2 linked regions of the Drosophila melanogaster genome follow. The gene in region 2 interacts genetically with the main gene of each other region. Each region holds a gene or a part of one and is shown on either strand. Other genes may lie near its edges.

Evidence for each region.
Region 1: of Lsm12a (region 2) and tyf, changing one enhances a phenotype caused by changing the other (phenotypic enhancement), as found in Drosophila melanogaster (one study listed by BioGRID).

The regions. Positions count from the first base shown.
Region 1 is NC_004354.4:4,115,826-4,120,778, reverse strand, and holds the start of tyf (twenty-four), read right to left. Parts: upstream 3,230-4,953; 5' UTR 2,884-3,229; intron 2,816-2,883; 5' UTR 2,500-2,815; intron 2,424-2,499; 5' UTR 2,362-2,423; coding exon 1,762-2,361; intron 1,066-1,761; exon of another isoform or gene 484-1,065; coding exon 355-483; exon of another isoform or gene 339-354; intron 278-338; coding exon 1-277. Other genes in the region: Tip60 (Tat interactive protein 60kDa), read left to right, coding at 3,927-3,986, 4,054-4,180, 4,235-4,953.
Region 2 is NC_004354.4:12,016,499-12,021,356, reverse strand, and holds Lsm12a (LSM12 homolog a), read right to left. Parts: upstream 2,718-4,858; 5' UTR 2,177-2,717; coding exon 2,032-2,176; intron 1,730-2,031; coding exon 1,599-1,729; intron 1,533-1,598; coding exon 1,416-1,532; intron 1,351-1,415; coding exon 1,219-1,350; intron 823-1,218; coding exon 694-822; 3' UTR 638-693; downstream 1-637. Other genes in the region: Tango4 (transport and golgi organization 4), read right to left, coding at 1-19, 79-197; Chrac-16 (chromatin accessibility complex 16kD protein), read left to right, coding at 3,484-3,906; regucalcin, read right to left, coding at 4,386-4,578, 4,636-4,858. UniProt on the Drosophila melanogaster protein: Component of the Atx2-tyf activator complex which functions in the circadian pacemaker neurons to activate the TYF-dependent translation of per and maintain 24 hour periodicity in circadian behaviors.

The sequences.
Region 1 (4,953 bases), 7.9 Mb from region 2:
CTGCTGCTGCCGCCGCCGCCGAGGTTGTGGCCAGTTCGCTGCGGTGCGCCGCCTCAACGAGATCCTGCAGGGAGCCGCCCTGCTTGTGCCGCTGGCCGGGATCCGTTGACCGGTGATTGGTGGAATTATAGCTGCTGTTGTGCCCTGCACTGCTGCTGCTCCCGCCGCTCGAGCCTGTTGCTGCACTGGACGTTAGTGCGGATGGGTTGATTGTGAGGCAGGATTTGATGGCACGATAAGAGATCTCTTCGTCGTACTCAGCCTTTTTGAGCATTTGCTGCAGGCGTAAAAGACGTGAAGCAGAAATATTTATACACACATATATATGTTGCACATACATGAGCCAAAACTTACCAGAAATCGCTCGCTCTTGTTCTTCCTGTCGCCAGGATTTCGATACCAGTAGGCCTCTTCGAGAAGTTTCTTCAATGATGCGTCGTCCAGATCATTAAAATCGCTATCTTCCCAGGTATCGTATTTTGTCTGCAAAAGCGTCGAAGAACAATATTTGGCAATTAGTTTTGCAATTTTTCGGGTCATCAACACGAACACATATGCGTGTAAAACAATAATCGCTGCGACTTAACCTAAAAAAAAAAAAACAAAAGAATTCGGAGCTCCACTTATTCCAAACACATGCCCTTCTGAGTTCCTTATGCGAACTGATGAAGTACCGACCGCAGAGCAATAGAAGTATTAAATGGCACACGGTTCCAGTAAGTAAACGCTCTACATACGCACACACATGTGTACTATATGGTGTTGCACACGAACACAAGAAAACAGAAAAAAAAAAAAAAAACAATAACTGAAATAATAACGGGAATAGGCGAGAAGTTTTCGTGGTTAATGCCGCGGATGTCACCAATGCTTTTATAAGATAAACAAACGCTTTGCGGTTTTATCCGTTCCTTCTGCCCGATTCGGGGTCTTGATTTCAATAATTATCGAAGGCGCTGGTCAAAAAACCGACTGCGATCAGAAATTGAAGTTCCTGTGTGGCGATTACTTGATGGGACCAAATGTAACGGCACTATTTCGAAAGCCACAATCCCAGTCAGTCAGAACGAGATAACAGTATGCTTGGTCTATTTCTACATCATTTTCGAATTCTTTGCCATTAACTTCGTAAACGGTACTTTGGCTTCTATTCGCATACATATATGTATGTATGTGAGTATGTATTCATTAGGGGGATGCAATTTGACTGTCAATATTTATTTTTTTTTTAATAAAATTCGGTTTTCGATAAAACAGTGTTTGTGAGTGAGTAATCGGCTCACTTAAAGTTTTTTCCAAAGGTCATGTTTTAAGGGGATTTCGGCATTTTCATTTTCGACAACTTTAATGGACCGCAAGCGTAAGAATCTATTTTAGTTTATAGCTTAGTGTGCAAATAAACAATATTTATATCTAATTTATGTATACCTTGGTTTTGGTGGTAACGTAAAGATCGGACAACTTGCTGTCCAATACTGGAATTCCACCCAAAATCGAAATTAGTTTCAAATTTTACGTTTACTTAGTTGTTTCTCAACTTAGTCGCCCTGGTAGAGCTCTATTCAAGCCTGGCCATGCATAAGATATGGAGTCCAAACACCATAGAGCTTTGGAGCCTCCAGAACGTACACAAATGTGAAATTTTGCGAGTAACAAACATAACTATACCTTTTTCTTAATAAAACAATATCTTAACTCGGTTTCTGCTTAACATGCACTATATTTCCACCTTAAGATGCAACTCAGCCAGAGCGCACTTACCTTTTTCTTCTTCTGTCGCTTGCCGACATTCTGATCGTCCTGGGTCTTGCCCTTGGCAGTGGCTCCGTACTGGAGTACCCTGCGGTTTGGTCGCGACAGTTCAGCGCTGGGCGAATCCTTTAGCATGGCAAAGACCTGCGAGAAGGACGTATCTCCTGCTGCTGCTTCTGCTGCGGATCCTTTGGCAGCGTCTGCCGTGGCTGCGTGGTTACCAGAGCTATGGCTATTACTAGGGGATGATGACTTCTTGGGGTCATTGCCTCTGCTGCTACTGCCGCTGGTGGCTACATGGTTGGCAGCCACTGGTGCCGCTCCTTGGCTGTCCTCGTCTTTGGCCCCCTGGTTCCTACAGGCCTCGTCAAGCTGCGCGTCTGCCTTCGCCACATGGTCTGACATCATGGTCATAAGCTGCTCCTGTGGGAACGGCGTCGGCGTTGTTTTGGTGACGGTGGTCGTCGTGGTGCTCTCGCTCATCGTGCCAGCGGCAATCGAGACGATGGGCGTGTCCGGTATGATCGTTGGCAGTTTGGCAGCTGCTCCACCAGATGCCACACGATCCGCCGGTGTGTCCGATGATGACGGCGTTTGTTCATTGTTCATCTTCTTTCGTTTGGTGGCATGCAACGAAGGAGAAAAACAAATGCCATTCGAATTCCTCGAATCTGTTAGGGCGTGTGAGAAGAGGGGAATGTTTGTTTTAGTAAACGGGTATATCTCGCATTCCCATTAACTGCTTACAAACTGTTTCTTCTCTTCGCGATGTTTCTAGGTAGCCCAGCTGCCCAGCCGCCGTGTGGTTGCCACCGCGACTGCAAGTGCTCTGCAGGCTGTTCCGCCGATTCCTAACGATTCCTCTCGACTTCCAGACGGTTTGAGGCACAGGGGAGCCCACCTATTGCGCATCAGTTTGGACTCCTGCTGCACTTGACAGGCCTGTCGTCAGTAGCTCTCCTCCGGCTCAAACCTTTGCTCGCGGCATTTACGTAGGTTCCTGGGCACGGGGATGCGGATTGCTCGCAAACAGACCGGAATACGGAAATGTGTGCGCACGGATCTGCAATTGATTGGGAAATGGGGATGAAGTTGAGACTAAAACTGAAACTGAGACATTGGACCACTGACTGGGTGTTTTGCAGCATTTGTTGTTGTTCTGGTCATGCGGACGAGCGACAAGGGGCGGTGGGTGGTAGCAGGTGCGTCTGTTTAGTCTTTGGCGACCCCTTGCGGCCCACTGACTTCGAATTTCTTTAAAAAGCACTGGTCTCTTTCCATATTCATTTTTTTTATTTTTTTTTTTTTTTGGCTAAAAAGCAGTGTTGCTAACTACGCTGCGTGCCAGGGTTGACAAATGCTGTTTGTTGTTTGTAGGGGCAAGCCGTTGAGATTGCTAAATCGGCGTTTGCTCTAGGCTTGCATCTTACTAATCAACACGAGATTGCCTGCCCGTTTTGCAACTAATTAGTGGGATATGCCCATCGAGTTGGCAGCCCTGCGGCTGTTGTCAGTGGCAACACTATCGCAAAACACGTCATTTTGACACAGCTTTTTCACCAATTTCCCGCTCAGCTCGTCAGCATTGGGGCACTGCGGCACAGTTGCCCAGCAGTTGTGGTCACAATTACCCAGTAACTGAAGTTTTCCGCGGATCACAGTAGTCATTTATTGATAAATACGCCAGTCGATGACAGCTGTATAACTTTCTGCGCACTCACACGAGCGCACACGAATGTACGCACCCACACACACGCACACAAATTTACGCCTGTGTACATTTCTCTGACCTTCTCAGCGTTTTTATTTTTTGGTTTGGCAACTGAAAAGAAGGGAGCACATAACTGCGCACTCAAGTTCTAGCAACTGCAATTGAGTCGAACGGTTGTGCTTAATATGTTACAGTTGTTTGTAAGCGGGCGAAATTGTTTAATTGCACAGTAGGCACATGAGAAAAAATACCGAACCCGAATTGAAAAACTCTCTGGAATTGTTGTTGTGTTGTGCAGCACTTTGAAAAGGCGACGCGACGCTGCGCAGCACTGCCCATGTCATCAACATTTTTAAACCGCTGATTCACTGTGGCGGTAATCGATTGGTCGATAGTTATTTACGTTTCGCTATCTGGCAATACTGCTGTTTTAGGAAAAAAAAAACGCGTAAAATATAAACAAATGAAAATTAACCACAAATATGAGTTCGACGACGATGTGGCCTCCATATGCGAGTCAACGGTGGGTTCCGCTACGCCTTGGCGTGTTTTGGGTGTTCATTCTAATGGTTTTAACCGCAAACTTGCAGGCCGCCCTAACCGAGGGATGTCGTTTACCCGTCAGGATGCACAAAACGGACGACTGGCCACTAGCGGAGATTGTGAGCATCAAGGAGTTGGATGGGCGCCGGCAGTTTTACGTGCACTATGTGGACTGTGAGTACCAAGTCGTCCAGTGGGAGCATATTTAGTATAACTGCCAATCCGCAGTCAACAAGCGCTTGGACGAGTGGGTCAACGAGGAGGATCTGTACACGCGAAAGGTGCAATTTCCGCGGAGAGACGGCTCACAAACAGGCACCAGCACTGGAGTGACCACGCCACAGCGCCACCATTCCCTAGCGGGCAGCGTTTCTCGGCCTACATCACCGCAACACCCTGGTTCCGGGGCTCTGGCAGCCATCCCCCAGACTCCTACTGGTGCATCAGGCAGTGTTCCTCCCCCTGCTGGCATTCCAAACTCTGTGGCTCCACCCGGAACACCAAGCAGTGGGGGAGAGCTTGTGAATGGCAACAATCTGGCCGCAGCCCTTCAGAAACGCATCAATCGCAAGCGAAAAAACCACGGAGGCTCGGCCCATGGACACCACAGTCTGACCAGTCAACAGCAGCAGTCACATCCGCATCCTACAACTCCGCAGACACCCACGGCTACGCCCGTGCATGTGACCGGCGACGGTTTAATAAGCGGAGCGGCCAATGATGATGGTGATGGATCGCAGGATGGCAAGACGCCCACGCCGAGGCAATCAGGCAGCATGGTTACGCACCAGGACGACGTGGTCACCCGCATGAAGAACGTGGAGATGATCGAGCTGGGCAGGCATCGCATTAAGCCCTGGTATTTCTCACCCTATCCGCAAGAGCTGTGTCAAATGCCCTGCATCTACATCTGCGAGTTCTGCCTGAAGTACAGGAAGAGCAGGAAG
Region 2 (4,858 bases):
GGAACGTCGCAACTTCTCTCTGTTTAACGAAAAACACAAATTAACAATGCGTAAGTTGCAAACTACAGGTATACTCACAAACGTTCGTCGATTTCGGGCAGATTTCCCTGGTTGGAGACGAACAGATCGTGGGTGCGCTTCAGGGAGCGGAATATCAGCGTGTGCACGCTGTGCTTCTGCACGTCTTCCATGGCCATTGTCTGTTATTTATTGCTTATTCGCTAAATTTGTTAAAAACGCGGCGCGGCTCTTGCAGCTGACCACCACAAGCCATACATAACAATCGGGCTATCGGTTATCGGACAGTGATGTCTGCTAGCTTGTTTATAGCCAAATGTTAATGCTACATGGGCATCCATTTTTAAAAGAAGTTTTATTAAAATTTTAAATGTATTTAAATGCAAATATCTAATATCTAATTGAAATTGTGTAATTGAATTATCTAATAATTAGAAAAAAATGATTTAACTTTTCACAACCTTAAGTCGAGATGAGAAATTGTGGGTCCTGAATTCAAAGTACCATAAAAGCCACAAAAACTGATAGTTTTTTCAGAATCGTTTTTCGAATACCCATCAAAGTGTTAACTTTATGCGCCCACCCGAGAGATTAAAAAACCAATACGTTGTTCTTTTTTGAAGCACATTTCTGTTTTTTTGTTTTGTTTTGTTTGTGTTTTTTTTCTGCTTATTATTAGTTTGCGGGAACCGGCGATCCAGATGCAAGAGATGAGGACGTGGGAGACACCGATGGTGACGAGGTGCTGGCCGCAGCTCCGCTTTCCGGGACGGGCGATGGCCTCGTGTTGAAGAACTGTTTGATCTGCAGATAAAAGATGGAGTAAAGATTAACCTATGAACTTAAAAACACCGACCACACCAGCCACAATTCTGTCATAAAGCATTATTTTTTTTTACCGCAACTTTGCGCATTTGTATGTTTATATCAGAATGATAAAATGCTTAATACTGTTTCTAATCAAACCCTAAACCACATTGGGAAGTACTTGAAATATTTAGGACTATCTTGACATATGAATAACCTATAAACATTAGCGAATCTAGAATGTTCTGAACATTAATTCAACTAAATCGTTGTTTGAGCCATTGCGTTGGGTTTAAGTTACAATGGTTTGCTAGTCTGATTAAAGATTTAACGAACTTCATTTCGGATTTATGACAGTTTGCTTGAAGGTGCTGCGGTTGGGCAATTGCTTACGATGCGCTTGATGTAGTTGCATGAAGTTTCGTTGTTCGAGCTGGACACCACGTTGTCCACTCGGTACGGCGGCGAGATGGTGACTTCATTTAGGATCTGTATGTTAAGTCCTTGCCAGGAGACTTCATTGTACTACAAAATAGTAAAAGAAATAGCAATGGTTAATGATGATAGGGCATCGTGCAAGAGGTCATTACCCCGTATTGTTTGGCTATCGCTCTATAGAGTTCCTGCGCCTCTGGACTGACATCAGCATTCTTAGACTTCAAGTAGTCCTGTCTTCGCTCAACTGTTTTCCTCAGACGCATTTTGACCTGTATAAGCAATATATATATATATATATATATATTTATGTAAGTGGTCAGAGCTGGCATGCTTACCTGTTCCAGATTAAGCTTTTGCGGATCATCAAAGTTGCCGTTGCACTCCTTGATCACCTGCACGTTGCTGCAGAGCGAGAGGTTCATCGCGTAGATATCACTCAGCTCCTCCGTGGACTTGGATCGGCATTCTATGCGGTTGGAAAGGGAAGAGAAGAGCAGGAACGGGGGGCAAAGATATACGATGTACGGAGAACCAAATTGTCAAGCAGTAAACAATGGGTTTGATAAGAGATAGGTGATATGTGAATGCTATCAGTTAAGATGAGTGTGAATTAGAATTATATACGAATCTAAAGGACAGTGTGACTTTTTGTCCAGACAGCTCAAGAGATCCCTGTGGACAGCCGGAGAAAGTGCTCGCTTTCACCCGGCGGGCAAGTTGTGTGTGTGTGTGGGTATGCATTTCGGGGATTTCGTTGCAAAAGGATACTCAGGATAAGCATCTTTGTGTTGTGATCGAAGGCCAGCACCTCGCCCTCCACCTCCTCGTTGAAACAGGTCGTACAGACGACTGTGGATCCGATGCTGAAGCAGTCGTTCACTGCATTCACTGCGCTCGCAGCGGCAGCGGCCATTTTTAATTGCTGGTTGAGATTGGCCAACTGGAAAAGTGCACCCACAAGCTATGTGGATAGGGGATTCGAATCTAGATCTAAATGTCGATACTGGTTTGTTGGCACGCCGTTGCTTGAACAACGTTTCACAAACAGCGATGGTGATGATGTTGATGATTTTGCGGCAGCAGCAGCTGTTTTGGATGCTTGAATTCCTGGAATTCTCGAAAGGATTTAACTAGCTCTCTCGCTCGCTCTCACTCTCGCCGTCTGTCTGTCTCGTTCTCTCGTGCCGTGCAGCTCACTCGCTTTCACTTGAACCGCTCTAATGGAAATGTCGCTTCCTGGCGATCTGGTCGAGATCCTGCTCCTGCTTCCACTGCCCCTGATCGTCGCGTGAATTGGCCAAAAACTCGCTGGTTACTCGCTCGACTAGCTATCGGCTATCTATTTTGGCGGCAATTGCGGTTCGGTAATTGAAAAGTTGGAAAAGTACGCGAAAAATTTATTGGTCAACACACGAAACAACAGCCAAAAGGGGGCAGCAGAAAACGCAGTGTTGCACATGCCGCGCAGCGATAGGTTCGATAGTCATCGATTACGGAAGTCTGGCAACGTTGCTGCAAACAAATCAAGTGCAATAATAATTTATTGATATTTATTTATATGTGAGTTCGAAAATGAAGACAGATTTTTAAGCTATAAGTGTGAAAATCCAAAGTTGATTGCATACTGAAAAGACAAAAGTAGATAATATTGACTTGTCTAAATGTTGTTGCAATTGAATGTTTCCTTATAAATCGTGCAGATCCTAATCGTTTTACCCCTAATCTCTTGATTAAGTTAAAGGTATTTGCTTAGAGCGGTTTTTCCACTAATAAATTGAAATATTTGGAAAACTTTTATTAAATACTTGTTGTGGCTACCGATAGCATATCGGCGCAACGTTATTTGGTTAAATTCCCGCTCCAGCTAGAGCTGAAAGTATAGGCAAATCCGAATGGGTTTCTCAATTTTTATATATTTAGCGCTATAACTTAATTCTGAGAAAGTAACACATATATTATTGTGCACATCCAATTCCTTGCAAAAATAGAAGTATGCCAGCATTGTTCGTTTTAAGGGAAGCCCTGCGGTTACTTATTTTAAGTCTTCATAAACCATAACCATCGATAGCAAATAAAAAAAAAGAATCGATAGTGTCTCAGAAAGGTACGAATTTCATGCCTCGATTGTAACATCGATAGTTTCACAGCTCCACTTGTGAGCCCAGCTCTAAAACCAAAAAAATTCCCAAGCCATAGTTTGCTTGGGAATTAAGTAAACAAATGGGCGAACCAAGGAGCCAACCACCCGTGGAGCGTCCACCGACCGCGGAAACCTTTCTGCCCCTCAGCCGCGTGCGAACGATCATGAAGAGCTCCATGGACACGGGCTTGATCACCAACGAGGTGCTCTTCCTGATGACCAAGTGCACGGAGCTATTCGTTCGCCATTTGGCGGGCGCGGCATACACGGAGGAATTCGGCCAGCGACCGGGCGAAGCGCTCAAGTACGAGCATCTCTCCCAGGTGGTCAATAAGAACAAGAATCTGGAGTTTCTGCTGCAGATCGTGCCGCAAAAGATCCGTGTACACCAGTTCCAGGAGATGCTGCGGCTAAATCGCTCCGCCGGCAGCGACGACGACGATGACGACGACGATGATGACGATGAAGAAGAGTCCGAATCGGAATCGGAGTCTGATGAATAGACGGTCATGCAGATGTTTATCTACACCGAAATTGAGTGGATGATCTCCATTCACCAAAACATCGACTGATTTTTTACGCCACCTTGCTATCTTTAATTTTAGACTAGACGATAAGTATAAAATTGTTTATAGAACCACTGATTAATAAAGAAGCATAAGAGCACTGCGTCCTCCAAATGACCATAAGATCCGCGGATGATTACCGTGTGTCTGCGGCTGATAAGATTGTTGTTTGAAATCAGAGTAAAGTAGAGCATAGTCAACCTCTTTGTGAGTTTACATGATGATCCTGGATATTCCCAGGAGAGAATGTGATCCTTAAGCTGACCTTGAACTAGAACTGCAAAAAAGGATAACCTAACTAGCATGCAAAACATTGATAGACGCGATTTAAAACGTTAAAGAGCATAACATATAATTGCACTTGGATTCGATTGGTACATTTTACTGCGGCTAAGGATAGATAGAGATTGCAGCTCCTAGACCTTCAGGTTGACGCCGGGATAGCCGGTGGCGTTCAGTCCGGTCACCTTGTAGGTGGTGCCAGCTGGAGCGGGCTGATCGAACTTGGCGGCAGTGGTCACGTACAGGATGTCCAAGTTGGGGCCACCGAAGGCGGCGGAGGTAATCTGTTTGGTTGGGAACTTGATCTCAAGCAGAATCTTGCCAGTGCTGCAATGAAGTACGACATTTAACACTCGATCACGAATGTTAGAGTGAACTACTCACTTGGGATTAACCTTGTAGATGGTGGCGCCATTGAAGGTGGCCACATACAGGTTGCCCTCGGTATCGATGGTCAGGCCATCGGGCAGCAGATGATCCTTGGGACTATTCTTGCGCAGATTGAATATAACCTTGGGATTGCTAGCCACGCCGGTCTCGAAATCATAGTCATACGACTTCACCTCGTAGTCGGTGGTATCGATGTAGTAGAACTTCTTGGCCTTCT